Oryctolagus cuniculus: one gene and its partners. The protein of the gene in region 3 purifies or fractionates together with the protein of the main gene of each other region. This does not show direct contact. Links are inferred from orthologs where the notes say so. Each region holds a gene or a part of one and is shown on either strand. Other genes may lie near its edges. The genes, in order: PNRC1, BAG4 and DCP1A.

Region 1 (2,359 bases), on a different chromosome or scaffold from region 3:
AAGCAGCTGTCACTCATCGGAGTAAACTCAATTATCAGATTGTACAGATTATCCCCAAACAACTTCAGCATAAATACTAATCACAGCAACATGTTGCTTAATCAAGTGCCACTGCCAACAATTTTTTCCACTCACATAAGCTGACAAACCTTTTACTCCTTTGCAATTAAAAGCTGTTTCCTTAGGCCACTATAAATTTAGGCCTGAAGCTAAGAACTACATGGTCCCATACATCCACAAAGCCAAATTACATCAACATTAGAGGAAACATTTCAAGAGATTCCAACAGAAGAAAAATAAAGGTGGCTTAACATCACTGACCAAAACAAATTCAGTACCTTCTCACTGAATATATATTATATTATCTGGTATAATTCACTTATGTTTACTCTTACAACTGTAAGACCTATCTTAATACTATAATATAGTCTACTTGTCATTTCTTTAAAGCTATTTATCAATGTTTTAACTCTAGCATTCTCAGAAAATAATTTTCCAAGGCTGAAAAGTTCACCTATATTTTCACATTAGTTTTAGCACCAATTTCTCTAAACCGTTCTAATATTCAATGAATATTAAAGCATAGCTTAATTTCTTTCTGTAAGAACAAGCATTTCATACCCAGGGACAAAGAATGGTTGGCTGGCTAGAGCTGCAAATACAAGATAGCATGCCTTGCCATTATTACACAAATTTTGTGGGACAGCTACATAACAAGTCATCCTATCTTCCTGGCACTGAGTATCAAGTTAAGAGCAAGTTTAAGCTTCTGCTCACACTCCCTACACCACACAGAAAGTGAAGTCTTCACTCTCCTTGTGGGAACCAGTGTGAGACCTAAGACACCTCCAGGTAGCACCATTCTCATGAATTCAACCTTAAGAATCATGTTCAAGTATGTACCTTTAACATCTTTTTTCTTTTTCCTCTCTAAATGTCGCCCAATTACGCAGAAAAGTTTTCTCCTTTGAGACAAACTTTCAGTTTATACAAGTGAAACCATATAGAAAGTGTATTTTAGAATTTGAATTGGTAATATGTTGAGAATGGTTTGAACTGCCATGTTGATCTTCAAGCCTCCAAAATCTCCACCCACTGTTTTCAGCATCAACTATGTTTTTTCAGTACAAGTGCCACCATTCAAGATTAACGTAATAAAACATAGGTGTCATTGTCTTACACTGAAAAATGTACCATATATTAAGTCAAATAATACTTCATAAAAAAGTTTACATATAAAAATATATTCTAAGTCATAAACTAACCAATTTTACTTTGTCCACTACCATTTCCACTTGTGAGATGGGCAATTCCCCACTAAGAGGTAGAAATGTTAAATAATTGCTCAAAATTTTGTAGAGGAAGAATCATCAGTACAAAGTCAAAAACAGAGCCAGTGAAATGAGAAGTTAAAAATCCAGTCACACAAAATCCCATGGCCACACACAGGACAGTCACACACAAAAAGTCAAGACTAGTTTAAAGGGGGGAGGCCAAATTATTATTACTTTAAAATTTGATTACAACCGATTTTGTTGGCATTAAAATTAGAGGCATCTTAAATTTGAATAATGGATATATACCAAAAACAAAAAATTAAATTTGGTAGAAATGGGGAGGAGTTTTTCCAGTAATTAGATTGGAAGGCAGAAATCAATTTAGCGAAAGACAAAACTCCATTGTTTACAATGATTGTGCCACAGACTTAAACTTCAGTAGTGCATTAGTAAACTCTTCACATTTAGATCTTCACCTTGAGATTTGACAGCTGTTTCTTGGTAAAATCTCAGTACCTTGTGCAAATAAACTGGTGTTCCATGTGCCTTAGCACACTTAAAATTTCTCCATTATATATATATATATGTATATATATATACACAAATCACCTGCCACATGGGCAGGGCAAAATACATACTTTCATAACAAAACTATAATGTACCTCTCAAGTATGAACAATATACACATAATACATGGTATACAGTATTTACAAAATATAAAATATAATACAAGCTGTTTGTATGTAACTTTTTAAACTCATCTTTTGTACTCTTACATTGCAACAAGGCAGATTTCCAGATCTGTACCAATTCAAGAGTCCAGGAAGTTGGAAAAAACTGTTTTACATACACACTGAAATCTGAAATCTTAAGTTTGAACCTTCAGCAGTGTTTTCAAATGCACTGCCATCAGCTCCTTGTTTTGGTTGGAATTTTCAACAGAACTTCCCATCCAGTGACTAGGAGGCTTTGGCAGAACACTAGGAGAAGGTGGATCACTGAACTTGGCGCCAGCGTAATTCTCCTTTTGGCTCACTTCAGTCAGAAATGCTGACTTCTTCAAATGCATGTTTTTAATATTC
Region 2 (3,658 bases), on a different chromosome or scaffold from region 3:
TGAGGAGAGGAGAGGAGAGAGGAAAAGCTATAGGTAGTAGACACCAGATTTTTGCAGTTACTCCCCATTTAACAGACCGATGCAGAAAGGTCCCATGTTGTACTCTATTAAGTACCCAGACTTCACAGGAACAGCCTTTAGATGTCCTACCTTGGGCTGCTGGGGCGGAGGCGAAGGAGGTGGCTGAGGAGAGCCACTGCTAGGCCATGGTGAAGCATTTTCGGTCACATAGAGATTCCCAGGTGGTGCTGTGGGCACAGCCGAAGGCCAGGGGTAACGGGCACCCATTCCATAAGCCCCAGAAGAGGCCCAGGCATCCTCTTGCGGTCGTACACTTGGTACAGACTGTGGAACACTACGATTACCATCCCCATATGGATAATGGGGCAGAGTCATTCCAGGGTTCTAGATTGAGAGGAAGAAATATGCTGGTCATTGCTAAAAAAAAAAAAATTGAAGAAGTAATGAAAATATTCTAGTACAGGCAGATTCTGAGATGCTAGTAACTAATTAATCAGTTGCAATAATTTCTCCAAGCCTACAAAATCTTGTTTCCAGGGGGCAGCCACTGTGGTGCAGCTGGGATGCCCACACCCACATCCCATACTTCAGAGCACCTGGGTGGAGTCCTGGCTACTCTGCACTTCCAATCCAACTTCCTGCTAATGCATTTGGGAAGCAGCTGATGACACTGAAATGCCTGAGTTTCTGCCACCCTCGTGGATGACCCGGATGGAGTTCCTGGCTCGTGGCGTTGGCCTGGGTTAGCCCTGACTGCTGCAGGCAATTAGGGAGTAAACCAGTAGGTGGAAAATCTCTCTGTGTCAATCTTTCAATAAAAAATTAAATCTTAAAAAAAAAAAAACAAAAAACACTTTGGTTCCATGGGCAAGTGTTTGGATGTCTGGTCTGGCGATTAGGATGCTCACATCCCCTGTCAGATGCCTGGGTTTGAGTTCTAGCTCCACTCTGTGATTCCAGCTTCCTACTATCCGCAACCTGGGAGGCAGCAGGTGATAGCTCACGTAATTGGGTGCATGCCACCCCCTGGAAGGTCTGGACTGGGATTCTCAGCTCCCAGCTTCTAGCTGTTACAGGCACGGGAGGTAAACCAGCACATGCGAGCTCTCTTAAATTTAAAACAAACAAAAAATGTTTAAAAAAAAATTTGGTTCCAAAGCTTTTAGGGGCAGGTTTGCTAACAATCAAAGTCACAAAAATTAAAGCCTAAAATTCAATTGATGAAGCACAGACACTGTAAACAAATGGCCACATATACTATAAGAAAGTATCAATAAGGATGTATCAGAAGTAAACAGAAGAGGTAGGTGCTGTGGCATAGTGGCTTAAGCCTCTGCCTATGGTGCCAGCATCCCATATGGATGCCGGTTCAAGTCCCAGCTGCTCCACTTCTGATCCAGCTCCCTGCTAATGGCCTGGGAGAGCAGCATCAGATGGCCCAAGTGCCTGGGCCCCTGCACCCACATGGGAGACCTAGAAGAAGCTCCTGGCTCCTGGCTTTGGATCAGCCCAGCTCCAGCTATCGCAGCCAACTGGGAAGTGAACCAGCAGATGGAAGACCTTTCTCCCCCTCTCACTGTAACTCTGCCTCCCAAATAAATAAATAAATCTAAAATAAATAAATAAATACACGTGACATTTAGAATAATGTTTTATATAGGCCTAACAGAGCTAAGACACAGAAATTTTCAAGTAGTAACTCTCTAAATATTGCGTTCAGTATTAAAAAGTGTGTGATTATGGCATCTTTAAGGTGCCTTCAGCCAAAGTCCATGGACCACAACAGTTACAAGTACAAAAGGCATCAACAAAAAAGTAGCACCTGTCTTCCTGGTCCCAGTCACTGCTGGCAAATCTCTGAACATCCCAAGTGTGTTCTGAAATCTTCAATCTAGCATAAGCAGTCACCCTTCCACAGTTTGCAATCCAAGAGGCACAGACAGAGCAGAGCTTTTCCCCAACCGACAACTGCTTACCTGAGAAGCAGGATACCCTGGAACCTGCCCTCGCAGAGGGGGCACTTCAGTCTGAGAGTCCTGTTGGGGATACACCCAACGAGAGACCGGGGTTGGGCTATTGCCGGGTGAACGGTAAGTGCCGGGAACCTCTGTGGAATAATTGGCCTGGGTATATCCAGGGGTGTAATACGCCCCAGAGTATGAGGCAGTACTTGCCCCAGCGCCAGGTGGGTACGGTGGACCGTATGCTCCATTTGTGTAAGAATTCAAACTCTGAAAAAAGCAAAGTTGAGAGAAAAAAGATGAATGGGTAGATGAACTGAAACGCCCTGTCTTAAGGCCCAACCTTAAAAACTTTGGGAAGAAACGAGATCAGTGATGAATGAAAAATATGAAATACCTGAGCAACTTTTGAAGCGTTCTCTATCATTTATTATGATTAATGCCATAAATGAAACTTGGGCTCTAAGTGCAGAGTCTGTGTAGTGACCAGGGGAGAGCACATGATGATGAGAGGAAATGATGAAGCTATGGCCTTAGAGCAGTGTTCTTCAAACGTCTCCTTAAGTGCCCCTAACAATGACACCTAATAGCAGGGATGAACTTAAACCCACACACTAGGGGGAGGATTCCTGAAAACCTAGGAAAATGACTTTTAGAGAAAGGGAGTACCACAATTTAATAGAAAAAGGGGGCCGGGCAGTATTTTGGTATAGCAGGTAAAGCTACCACCTGTGATGCTGGCACTCCAACTTTGAACACTAGTTCAAGTTCTAGCTGCTCCACTTCCAATCCAGCTCCCTGGTAGTGTGCCTGGGAAAGCAGATGGCCAAAATCCTTGGGCCTCGGCACCCACATGGGAGACCCAGAAGAAGCTCCTGGCTCCTGGCTTCGGCCTGGCCCAGTCCCAGCCATTGTGGCCATTTATGGAGAGAACCAGCAGATGGAAGATAGATAGATAGATATCTCTCCCTTTCAAATAAACAAATAATAATAATAAAAAAAAGAGCCAGACATAGCTCTGCCATAGGTTTTATATTTTACCACTCTTAGGAGCCAGCATCATGGCATAATGGGTAAAACCACAGCTTGTGACACTAGCATCCCACATAAGCACCAGTTCATGTCCTGGCAGCTCCACTTCCAATCCAGTTATCTGATAATAGCCTGGGGAAAGCAGTGAAAGATGGCCCAAGTGTTTGGGCCCCTGCTACCCAAATGGGAGACCCAGATGAAGCTCCTGACTCCTGGCTTCAGCCTGGCCCAGCCCCAGTCATTGCAGTCATCTGGGAAATGTACCAGCAGGTGCAAGATCTCTGTCTTTCGCTGTCTCTCCTGCCCTCACTGTAACTCCGACTTTCAAATAAATAAATAAATTTTTTAAAAACGTATGTATCCACTCTTAGCTTCAGTTTCTCCATCAGAATAACAAATATTACAAACATTTCAGAGGATTAATATAAGAAATAAACAATATGACGTAGAAGGCTACCATCCTGGGGTGGGCATTATGGTACAGCAGGTTAAGCCTCCACTTACAACACCAGGATCCCACATTAGAGTGTTGGATTGAGTCCTGGCTGCTCCACTTCCAAACCAGCTTCCTACTAATGCAGCCTAGAAAGCAGCTGATGGTGGCTCACGTGTTTGAGCCTCAGCCATAAGGAAGGAGGCCCCTA
Region 3 (3,658 bases):
GTGTGGGAAAAGTTCTACTTCTCTGTGGTAAACACGTAGGAACAGTAAACACACTCTTATAAAAAGTTTTATACTTTCCCTTTAGATCTAGGATCGATTCTGATTTTTGCATATGATGTATTTATGCATTTAGGTTAAGGTTATTTTGTTTGCATATGGATATTCAATTGTTTGAATGCCATTAAAATTGTTAACTTGAATAGGACCCTAAAAGTGAAAAAATACAGTTACAAAGATTGATTTATTTGAAAGGCAGAATTACAGGAAGAGGGATGGGGAGAGAGATAAGGAGAGAAATCTTCCATCTGCTGGTTCATTTCCCAAGTGACCCCAACAGCCTGGCTGAAGCCAAGAGCCAGAACTCCATCCAGGTCTTCCATGTGGGTGGCAGGGCCCCAACACTCAGGTGATTTTCTACTGCTTTCACAGGTGCATTTACAGGGAGCTGAATTGGAAGTGGAGCAGCTGGGACTCAAACTGGAGCCTACATGGGAAGCTGCAGGTGGTGGCTTAACATGACGTGCCATAATGCTGGCCCCTGAAAATATTTCTGTTCTTCAAAAGAAACCTCAAAAAATGATCACTGGGATGGACACAGAATTATAAATTTTTAACAACTTAAGTTTTTTATATTTGGGCTATGTGATCCAGTATCTGGTATTACTGATACCAAAAGATATAACCAAAAACCATTTAGAAAACTCAAGACACTAGATTTTTAAAAAAGCAGCCTTTTCAAAGTTCAGTCTGCAGACAATTAGTTCTCTTGCTACCATATTATAAAAACATGTGCTTACTACAGGAGAGGCAAATGTTAAATTAAGGCATTACACTTTTTTTTTTTTTTCCTATTCAAATGACTTAATCCTTGTATTATTTCAGAACATCACAGGGGTGAAACTGTTTGCAAAAGCTTGCAAAATGTCTTCTACCATATCCCTTTCTGTGCAGCAACACCATCAACCAGCCACCAATTTCACTACTGGGAATGCTTGGAATCGAATTATATTACAGAAAACATAAACATTGTTCACAGTAAATCCTTAAAACACAAAGTGCAAATGTTCAGAAACACTTAGGAAGCTGGAGTCTCCCTTTAAAAAAAAATCCAGAATTGTCATTTGCAGAGACTATCTGGCAGCACCAGGTCATTTGGCATTAACTGGCTGGGACTTCACTGCAAATGATCTCTGTCAGGGAAGTGGCTCTCTGGCCTACTTTACCAATGCCACTGCTTACCTGGCTCTTGGGGCACTTGAGTTTGCAATACTCGAACATAAGCTGCATAGACTGTTTATGATATGTTGTTCTTTAATGTAAGGTATCGAGAACTTCATGTTTTTTCGATACTTGTGTAGGGCTTTTCTTGATGGTTCATTTTGTTAATGACTACTAGGATGAGGGGATTGGACAATCACAGCCAGATCTGCTGGAAGTCATTTTTATAATACAGGGTATAAATCTTATAATTGTCAAAATCCTTTAATCTACCAAGTCAAGTAATTCATCTTAAGGAAAAAATTAATGCTGTACATGAAGATTTAGCTACAAAATGTTCCTATTAGAATAGAAAGAGAAATCTATGCTATCATTTATGGGAGACTGGGAAGAAGTACCTGGCTCTTGGCTTCGGATCAGTGCAGCTCTGGCCGTTGCAGCCATCTGGGGAGTGAACCAACAGACAGAAGACCTCTATCTCTGTCTCTCCCTCTCACTGTCTGTAACTCTACCTCTTAAATAACAAAGTATTTTCAGTGATTATGATGGGTGGCTGGGTGATGGAATTAAATTCCACCCAAACCCAGGGTTATATTCTGTGGCAAGAAACAACTCAAACTGTACCAGTTATGAGGGTGCTTACTGGAGAGTTTTAGTTTTTTTTTTTAATTTTTTAAACCATCTTTAATTATTATAAATGGGGGCCAGCGCTGTGGTGCAGTGGGTTAACGCCCTGGCCTGAAGCGCCAGCATCCCACATGGGCGCAAGTTCGAGACCTGGCTGCTCCACTTCTGATCCAGCTCTCTGCTATGGCCTGGGAATGCAGTAGAAGATGGCCCAAGTCCTTGGGCCCCTGCACCTGCGTGGGAGACTCAGAAGAAGCTCCTGGCTCCTGGCTTTGGATCGGTACAGCTCTGGCTGTTGTGGCCAACTGGGGAGTGAACCAGTGGATGGAAGACCTCTCTCTCTCTCTCTTTCTGTCTCTGTCTCTCTTCTCTCTGTGTAACTCTGACTTTCAAATAAATCAAGAAATATTTAAAAAATAATTATTATAAATGCCCCTCCCACAAAAGTCTGACATTTCGGGGCTGCTGGCATCCCATATGAGCACCAGTTTGAATCTGGGCTGCCCTGCTTAAAATTCAGCTTCCTGCTAATGTGCTTGCAAAAGCAGTGGTAGATGGCCCAAGTTCTTGGGCCCGTGCCACAAATGTGGGAGACCTGGATGGAATTCCAGGCTCCTGGATTTGGCCTGGACTAGCCCTGGCCATTGTGGCCATTTAGGGAGTGAACCAGAAGATTCTTCCCTGGTCAGCACCCAGAGAACCTTACCCTCTCGTACTCATCCTTGGCTCTGCTCAGCATCTCCAGGATGTCGATGGGCCGGTGGTCGCTGCAGCCATTGGCCTGGTTTGGACTCTGTTTATCCCGAGCAGCTTGTTGCGATCGCCTTGTTTCCTCTTCTACCACGCTAGAGGAGGAGAGCTGGATTTTAGAAAAGCCTCTTTAGACACAATCTGACCCAAGAAGTCTTTTGCTGTCCATCTTCCAAGGGTATGCCAACAGGGTCACATGATGCCCGTATCCTCCCAGCACATCAATACACAGCCTTGGTTATTTCATTCCGGGAAAATATAACTAACGTTTTTACTTGTTCACTACGCTGCCAACCAATACATTTCACCTTTAAAAGACAAAAAAACAGGAGCCAGTGCTATGGCATAGTGGGTAAAGCTAATGCTTACAAGGTAGGCATCCCATATGAACACTGGTTCAAGTCCCGGCTGCTCCACTTCTGATCCAGCTCCCTGCTGATGGCCTGGGAAAACAGTGGAGGATGGCCCAAGTCCTTGGGCCCCTGAACCCACATGGGAGACCCAGAAGAAGCTCCTGGCTCCTGGCTTCAGATGGGCCCAGCTTTGGCCATTGTGGCCATTTGAGGAGTGAACCAGTGGATGAAGGATCTCTCTCTTCATTCCATTCTCCCTCTTTCTCTCTATAATTCTGCCTTTCAAATACATAAACAAACTAAAAAAAAAAGACAAAAACATAGAATTCCTTCCTAGAGTTGGTAGAAACATTTATGTCAAAAATTCTGTGAAAGTGTGTCCTTTTCTTCCTAGAAATATGTCAAAATCAGTCAACCTAGCTCATAAAATACATTTGAAACTGGACAATGCCAAGACACAGGTATGGCTGCACTGTTGAGCAACCCATTGTGGAAGTTTGTACTGTCCTTAGGCTAGCAAGGAGGAAGATTCACTTCTAGAAATAGATGTCTTGGTCAACCTTTGAACGTTAATGATAGTAAAAACAAACAATAGGTCTTCCCTAATCTTCCTTTTTTTTTTTTAATATTTTATTTTATTTTATTTTAGACAGGCAGAGTGGACAGTGAGAGAGAGAGACAGAGAGAAAAGTCTTCCTTTTGCCGTTGGT

What was found.
Region 1: the proteins of DCP1A (region 3) and PNRC1 purify together in Homo sapiens (affinity purification with mass spectrometry; 3 studies listed by BioGRID and IntAct, with this or other methods). This does not show direct contact. The link is inferred for Oryctolagus cuniculus from reciprocal best matches to the Homo sapiens genes DCP1A and PNRC1.
Region 2: the proteins of DCP1A (region 3) and BAG4 purify together in Homo sapiens (affinity purification with mass spectrometry; 4 studies listed by BioGRID and IntAct, counting the BioPlex papers as one, with this or other methods). This does not show direct contact. The link is inferred for Oryctolagus cuniculus from reciprocal best matches to the Homo sapiens genes DCP1A and BAG4.

The regions. Positions count from the first base shown.
Region 1 is NC_091436.1:83,405,426-83,407,784, forward strand, and holds part of PNRC1 (proline-rich nuclear receptor coactivator 1), read right to left. Parts: coding exon 2,146-2,359; 3' UTR 1-2,145. UniProt on the Homo sapiens protein: Nuclear receptor coactivator. May play a role in signal transduction.
Region 2 is NC_091433.1:87,946,740-87,950,397, reverse strand, and holds part of BAG4 (BAG family molecular chaperone regulator 4), read right to left. Parts: intron 2,253-3,658; coding exon 1,998-2,252; intron 406-1,997; coding exon 151-405; intron 1-150. UniProt on the Homo sapiens protein: Inhibits the chaperone activity of HSP70/HSC70 by promoting substrate release. Prevents constitutive TNFRSF1A signaling. Negative regulator of PRKN translocation to damaged mitochondria.
Region 3 is NC_091441.1:96,527,015-96,530,672, reverse strand, and holds part of DCP1A (mRNA-decapping enzyme 1A), read right to left. Parts: intron 2,691-3,658; coding exon 2,552-2,690; intron 1-2,551. UniProt on the Homo sapiens protein: Necessary for the degradation of mRNAs, both in normal mRNA turnover and in nonsense-mediated mRNA decay. Removes the 7-methyl guanine cap structure from mRNA molecules, yielding a 5'-phosphorylated mRNA fragment and 7m-GDP.